Rattus norvegicus: one gene and its partner. The protein of the gene in region 1 binds, or shares a complex with, the protein of each later gene. Links are inferred from orthologs where the notes say so. Each region holds a gene or a part of one and is shown in the gene's direction. Other genes may lie near its edges.

Region 1 (3,746 bases):
AGGAGAAAGGAGGAAGAGGAAGAGGTGGAAGCAGCAGCAGCGGCCGCCGAAGCAGCTTTGTCCCCAGGTACTATATGCTAGCTAGCTGAAGCTCTTGCCCTCTCGTGGTCCTCTTGTGATCCTCTCATGGGGCTCCCTTAGGAAGCAGTAGACAAAGCCATAGAGTCCAGTTCCCACTTGATGTAAGAATGCACTCTCCTACTCAGGGCATGGCAGCCATTAACTATCTGGGTCTGGCCTTGCTCAGGAAGAGGTCCCATGGAGCAGTGACAGGCTGAATGTGTTGGGCAGCAAGCAGAGCAGACCGCGGGGCCTTATGCCTTTGGTAGCCAGTGGAGCTCCGAGCCTCAGTGTACTGAGAGGGAAGGTGAAAGCAGCAAGGTGTGGCAGTCGGAAGCCCGTGTGCCTTGTGCTTGCAGGTGCATGTTTGGGCATTGTACCAAGTGTGAAACAGCTGAAGAAATTAGGGGTGATTAACAAGGAGGAAAGGAAGGTTCAGGTCCCCGAAGGCCTGTCTGTCTTCCAGCCTTGGGCAGGGGGGCCCATTGTGGGACCCTCCCTAAAAGCCACTGTAGAGGGCTGGAGGGATGGCTCACTGGTTGGGAGCACTGACCGCTCTTCCAGAGGTCCTGAGTTCAGGTCCCGGCAGCCACGTGGTGGCTCACGGCCGTCTGTGGTGGGATCTGATGCCCTCTTCTGGTGTGTCTGAAGACAGCTACAGTGTACTTGTATATAAATGAATAAATCTTCTAGAAAATTAAAAAAAAAAACCCTTTAAAAAAAAAAAGCCACTGTAGATTTTACTTTCAGGGGTATCCAATGTTAAGTCAGGCTGCTTCCTAGGCTGATCTAAGATCGCCTTCAGCCAGACTAATCTGCTCCCAAACTAGGATTGTAGGCGTCTTGGGACCCGCACTGAGGGACGTGATGTGTGGGGGTGGGGGTTCTAGTCTCAGAACCGGGTGGGCGGACCGGATGGGATTGTCTAATAGTGAGTCTGGAGGTGGCCTTTGGAAGGACAGGCAAGGTGTGGGAACTCAGCCTTCTCACCCAGTTGTGCCGACAGAAAAATGCCGGGGTCCCGGGTCCTCGCCTTTAACGCGGCCGGCGGCGCAGCAGGCGGGAGGGGGAGGGGCGGCGCGGGCAGCGCATGCGCGGCGCGGGGGGAGCGGCCGGACAGTCCGGTGGCTGAAAGCAACCCGCGGGCAGCGGAGAGCGCCGGGACCCCGCGCCGGGGGCTGTGAGCGGCGCGGGCCCACCGAGCCCGAGCTAGCCCGCGCCGCTGCCGCAGGGCCCCGGGAGCGGTGGCCAAGATGACCGTGCCGGTGAGTGCTGACCGCCTGAGACCCTGCTCCCCCCCGCCGTAGGCCTGGGCCACCGGGGGTCGCCGGAGGTTCTTTTCAAGCCGAGGTGGGGGTCAGGGTGGGGGCACCGCCCCATAACCGGCATCTCTGACACGGCTTTTCCAGCCTCCTCCAGGACAGCCGAGTAGGACGGGGAGCCGCACTGGCCCCACCGGGAGCTCCGGGGCACGGCTGGGTTGGGCAGGGGGCTTTAGGGGTGCTCCTGAGAGCCTCTGGGACTGGTGGGCTCGGCGGGGTCCGTGCCTTTCCCCGACCTCCTACCAGAGTGGTCAGGCCTACCGAAAAGAGGGCTCTGTCACTTCTTAGAAACCCATGGCCAGGTCAGCTGGGCCGAGTGGTGGGAAGGTCTGTGCGGTTCCCCCAGAAAACTCCCTGGGAGGGCTGCCCTATTGTGCTCTCTGGTCCCTACCCGGATGGCCAGGCGTGGGGCGGGGTCTGTTCTGTCCCCGGAGACACCCTTACCCCAGAATGGTTGGCTTGGCAGGCTAATGGAAATAGCGTACCTCCCCCTACCTCTGGTTTGTACATTCACTTTGTGGGAAGTTTTGTTGGCCCATTGAACTACAGGGCCTTTTGATTAGCAGCTGCTTTCTGTAGGGGCTTCCCCCTTTGCTTGACATCTCGTCTTCTGTCTTCCCAATCCACCAGACACACTCGAGAAGCCCTTGGTCCAGTCCTTAACACTAGGACCTTGGGTCTCCTCCTGAGGTGGCCAGTGATTATTCTACCAGGGGGGTGGACTCAGGCACAGGCTCCAACCCACTTTACAGATGGACACACAGAGGTGTGAGGCCACACCTTCATCCTGTCTGCCCCGGAGTCATGGCCTGCAGCCACCATTTCTCTGCTGACTCAGGCCTTTTCCCCAATGACAGGAAGGGGCAATGGGCCAGAGCCTTGCCTAGCCTGCCCTTATTCTGCTCTGGATCGACTCCGGAGACTGGGTTCTCTCCGTGATGCCGTTAGTTGGCGGGGCAAGTGGCTTCTTAATTAAGCACCATAGAGTATGGAGATTGCTGGAGAGGAGAGGGTTCTGTCAGGGCAAAGCATTGTTATTACAGAATTAAAGATCTCAGCTCCTGCCCGCCCCCAGAAGCGGTAATACTGAGTTACAGATGAAAAAATTAGGGCTTCCAGGCCGCGCTGATGGGAGCCCCCACCCCCATCTCTTCTGGTTCAAAGCATAATTGTCTCATCTCTAGGAAGAGACGGAGAAAGCCTGCCAAACCTCTCTGCTGTTCTGCTCTGCTGTTCTGCAAAGCTCAGGGTTTTCTCCAGCTTGGGGCATAGGGCACCGACCAACTCCGCCTCTGTGGACATTGGCCAGGAAAACAAGACAGACCTGCTGAGTGTGCTGGAGGGCCAGGGTCCCCAAGGCTGTAATGACCATGGAGTACCCCTCTGGACAGGCCTCTGGTCGGGAGGTCCAGGATTGGTTTAGTAGTCTAGCCTAGGTATAGAGCTCTGTATGGGACATGTGTCTTAGACGGCACGCAGACCCTTATCTCACGAGATTTCAGGTAGTCGCCCTCTGCTGTGTGCCACGGTGGTACCATCTATAACTGGAGAGGATAAGGGGTTTGTACAGGTGAGAATCACTGTGAAGAACTAAAGTGAAGGTCTGTCCCTACCACGATCCACTCCAAGTCACTTCTCTCCCGTTCGCTTGTAGCCACAGCCCTCAGTAATTCTGCACAGTGTGTAGCTAGACTAGACTGTCAGGCCATTGTCCTCTATCCTGGGCCCTAAGTAGTGTGCAAGGTGGTGGGGCTATGGAGAGGTCATTTCTGAAGCTTTCATATGCTGGGAGCCCGGGTGGACTTCTAGAAAGATCTGCCTGCCCAGGGAGCCCAGAATGGTGACTGGCCATGTGGTACTTAGGGACACGTTTGAGTTTTAAGCACACCCATTCATTTGGGCAGTCTTTCCCTGTATAGAGCTGACGCAAGCACTTTGGCCCACAGAAATTACAAGATGCTAACAGGCGGCAGTGGGAGACCACTGCAGAGAGAACTTGGGATGAAATAGGTTGAGTTGATGTGATTTCCTGGGTATCCAAGCAGGGCCTGGACAGGGTTTTGTTTTGGTGTTTGAGATAAGATCTCATTGTATAGCCCTGAATACCCTGGAATTTACTCTGTAGACCAGGCTTACCTTGAACTCATACTGAAAGCCATCTGCTTCTGCCTCCTCCAAGTGTTGGCCTAACTTGGAGTTCGCACTTGAAAATGACTGCTGCCATCTCGGACCCATGTCCACAAGTAACGAGAGGTTGGCTGCCCTGCCACGGTACGGTGAAGGGCAAGGCCTGTGCAGAGCAGCCCCACTGCAGCATGGCTCTGCTATGGCTTCTCTCCTGTGAAACTGGGTAGCCCATCTAGC
Region 2 (3,646 bases), on another chromosome or scaffold:
AACTGCGCCCTCAGCATGGACCAGATCCCAGATCTACACTCTCCGCTGTCTCCTATCTCCGAGAGTCCCAGCTCCCCTGCCTATAGCACCGGTAAGCTAGCAGGGGACAATCTGTAATGTCTTTGTGGGGAACCCTTACCTGTCTGTCTTGCCTCTGTGCTGGGAGCAGTGTCCTCAGAAATGTACTAGAAAAGCCTGTGGTGGAGTCGCTGGTGTTGGCACACAAGCAGCGTCAGGTTGATAGCGTTCCCACAGGTGCCAGGCAATGGACACAAAATGGGTTCTCAGTGTGAACGGCAGGATAAGTCTGCTGGGGGTGCAGCATGTCATGGGATCAGGCCCTGAGGCTGTGATGTGCACCGTGCTTGGCCCCAGCAGACAAAGTTCCCACTACAGCTGCCTCACCAAGGACCCTGGTAACAAGTGCATCCCTAGTGAGCTTAGACCAGGCTAGCTCAGGCTAATGTGCTTTGCTGCTCTTTTTATTTTATTTTTTTAAGATTGATTGATTTATTTTATATATGAGTACACTGTAGCTGTCTCCAGACATACCAGAAGAGGGCGTCGGATCTCATTACAGATGGTTGTGAGCCACCATGTGGTTGCTGGGAATTGAACTCAGGACCTCTGGAAGAGCAGTCAGTGCTCTTAACTGCTGAGCCATCTCTCCAGCCCATCTTTTTTTTAATTACCTTTTAGAGCAGTTTAAGGTTTATAACAAAATTGAAATCACAGCGCCCTGTGCTTATAAATACAAATAAAGTAAAAATATGTCCCCAGTTTATTTCTCAAAACAAAGCAAAACAAACCCCAACTGTTAAGCAACATTTCTTGCCCCACAAGGCAGTAGGAGCATTGAGAGAGGTGGTCTCCTGGAAGTCTGGGCCTGCGGGGAGCATTCCGTGCCTCTAGAGTGTTACTGTGTGTCCTCAGGAGTCCTCCCTGAGGACCAGCCTTGCTGTCACATTCACTTGCTTTCAAACCAGCATGTCCACGTGAAGACTTTTGATTACCTATTGTGTTTTTGAGACAGAGACTCACTATGTAGCCTTGGCTGGCCTGGCACTCACTAAGTAGCCGCCTCTGCCTTCTGAGGGCTGGAATTAAACGTGTCCACCACCACACCCAGCTCATGGGCTGCTTTTTAAGTTTTTAATGGGACAGTCTCCAGCAGTGAGGTGTCTGTCAGAGCTAGGAGATGAAAGCTTTAGTCCCAGCCCTACCAAGTTGAGTGACCTGGGCAAGTCTTCTAAGCTCTGAGCCGTCATTTTCTCAGCTCAAGCCTGAGGACATGAAAGTCCTTACTGCCATAGAACGGGACATTTGGGGTATTGCTTGTTTGCTTTCGAGAGAAGGTCTCACTATGTAGCTCTGGCTGACCCAGAACTTGTTATGTAGATCAGGCTAGCCTCGAATCTACAGAGACCTGGTCATCCCAGCCTCCTGAGCGCTAGGGTTACAGGTATCCACCACTGCACGCTCTTGGCTGTTTGGCTTCTGAGATCTTTTACATTCCTTTACTTATTTGTGTGTAGGGTCTGGGGGGACAGGAATGGATCACCGCACCAGTCTAGGGGTCAAATGACAACTTCCCCGAGTTCCACAGTGTGGGTTCCAGGGATCTAACCAAGGTTGTTAGACTTGGTGGCAAATGCCTTTATCCAGTGAGCCATCTAGCACTTCCCTCCCCTCCTGCCTTTGGAGACAGGGTCTAAGTACCTCAAGCTGGCTTGTAGCTCTCACTAGTCTCCACCTCAAGGCTATCCTTCTACCTCAGACTCCCTGTGCTGTGATTGCAGACGTGGGCCACCATGTCAGGCTCTTCTCATTGATGGCTTTGCTGTTGACAATAACTCTCCAGCGTGTCACCAGCTCTGGGCACGCCCCACCCACCGAGTGTATCATTACTGCTAATTCACTTGGTGACAGCTTCACCAGGCGCAATAGGCTTCAGCAGGGCTTAGCTTCCCTGGACCGCTGCTGTGGCTTCCTATGTTGTAGCCTCTTGGGGCAGGGGCTCTGCTGGTCCAGGGAAATGCTGAGTACCACAGAGCATCTCCCTCCACATTCTGGGATGTGGGGACATCACCCTGTACATCGGATGCAGACTGTTCTTTGAGGAAACAGGGACAATTGATTTTTAAAATCATTTAAAATTACTTATTTATCATGTACATAGCATCCTGCCTGCATGTATGCCTGTGGGCCAAAAGAGGGCACCAGATCTCATTACTGATGGTCATGAGCCACCAAGCGGTTGCTGGGAATTGAACTCAGAACCTCAGGAAGAGCAGTCAGTGCTCTTCACCACTGAGGTATCTCTTCATCCTGGGAGGCTCCATTTTAAAGGGTAGTTGAGATAACGAGTCGTCTCTCTCTCTCCCCTCCATAGTAACCCGCGTCCATGCTGCTTCTGCTGCCCCCTGTACAGCACAGCCCGCCTCCCCAGTTGCCCGCCGCTCCAGTGAACCTCAGCTATGTCCTGGAGGTGCTCCAAAGCCTCCTGGGGAGTCAGACAGGGGCCCTCACGCAAGCCCGTCCCACACCCTCTGCAAGGCCTCGCCATCACCGTCACTCAGCAGCTACAGTGACCCAGACTCTGGCCACTATTGTCAGCTCCAGCCTCCTGTGCGCTGTAGCCGAGAGCCGACAGCAGGAGAGACCCCCCGGAAGGCTCGGAGCTCTGCAGAGAGGCAAAAGGAACTGTCAGAAAATGGAGTCCCTGAGGGGGAGTGGGGCAAGACCTTCACAGCCCCTGTAGCAGAAGCCACCTCATCTTTCAACCTGGCTACCTTCCAGTCCCAGCTGATCCCCAAGGAGAACCGGCCTCTGGAGGTGGGCCTGCTGCGCAAAGTCAAGGAGCTGCTGTCGGAGGTGGATGCCCGGACGCTGGCCCGGCATGTCACCAAGGTTGACTGCCTGGTACGTGTTAGGAATGCTTAGGGAGGGGACAATACCTTTAACATCTGGCTTTGAGGTCAGGAGTCAAGATGGTGACGGGCTGATTTCAAAATTCCCCAAGTACAATGACGCCAGCAGCCTGAGTTTTGACATCCCAGGTGTCTCAGGCCCCTTTTTCAGATTTATTTATTTTATGTATGTGAGTGCACTGTCGCTGTCTTCAGACAGACACACCAGAAGAGGGTATCAGATCCCATTACAGATGGTTCTGAGCCACCATGTGTTTGCTGGGAATTGAACCCAGGACCTCTGGAAGAGCAGTCAGTGTTCTTAACCACTGAGCCATCCTTCCAGCCCTCCATTTTCTTATTTTAGATTGTTTTGTTAGGGTCTCACTATGTAGCCTTGGCTGGGCTGGAACTAGCTGTGTAGATGAGGCTGGCTGCTATGTAGACCAGGCTGGCCTTGAACTCATAGAGAGCTTCCTGTCTCTGCCTCCCAAGTGCTGGGATTGAAGGCATGAGCCACCACCCCTTGCCAGTCTCCTCCTCCTTCTCATTTCATTTTTGATGTGCACTGGTGTTTCGCCAGCACGTATGCCAGGACTAGAGTTATAGGCAGTTGTGGACCACCATGTAGTTGCTGAGAATCAAACCTCAGTCCTTTTGGAAGAGCAGCCAGTGCTCCTAACCACTGAGCCATCTCTCCAGCCCAATTTTCTTCTTTGGAAAAGTGACATCCAAGG

The links. Proteins that work in one complex are often made in the same cells at the same time.
Region 2: the proteins of Bcar1 (region 1) and Sh2d3c are in contact, whole or in part, in a crystal structure (PDB 3T6G), measured with the Homo sapiens proteins. The link is inferred for Rattus norvegicus from reciprocal best matches to the Homo sapiens genes BCAR1 and SH2D3C. Residues at the interface, in NP_055382.2 of Homo sapiens: Ser739, Gln742, Phe746, Tyr747, Gln750, Asn754, Val779, Ser782, Lys783, Ile786, Leu787, His790, Val793, Phe794, Ile795, Asp797, Thr798, Arg801, Gln802, Ser816, Asn817, Cys820, Leu823, Arg824, Val827, Lys831; in NP_733745.1 of Homo sapiens: Thr543, Val544, Pro545, Val547, Gly616, Val617, Arg618, Glu622, Thr625, Leu626, Pro627, His628, Leu749, Leu752, Leu753, His771, Gly772, Val773, Glu774, Val776, Leu777, Leu780, Glu781, Ala783, Arg784, Ala787, His788.

Annotation. Positions count from the first base shown.
Region 1 is NC_086037.1:56,620,638-56,624,383, reverse strand, and holds the start of Bcar1 (breast cancer anti-estrogen resistance protein 1), read left to right. Parts: upstream 1-1,193; 5' UTR 1,194-1,313; coding exon 1,314-1,325; intron 1,326-3,746. UniProt on the Homo sapiens protein: Docking protein which plays a central coordinating role for tyrosine kinase-based signaling related to cell adhesion. Implicated in induction of cell migration and cell branching. Involved in the BCAR3-mediated inhibition of TGFB signaling.
Region 2 is NC_086021.1:36,435,805-36,439,450, forward strand, and holds part of Sh2d3c (SH2 domain-containing protein 3C), read left to right. Parts: coding exon 1-91; intron 92-2,392; coding exon 2,393-2,922; intron 2,923-3,646. UniProt on the Homo sapiens protein: Acts as an adapter protein that mediates cell signaling pathways involved in cellular functions such as cell adhesion and migration, tissue organization, and the regulation of the immune response.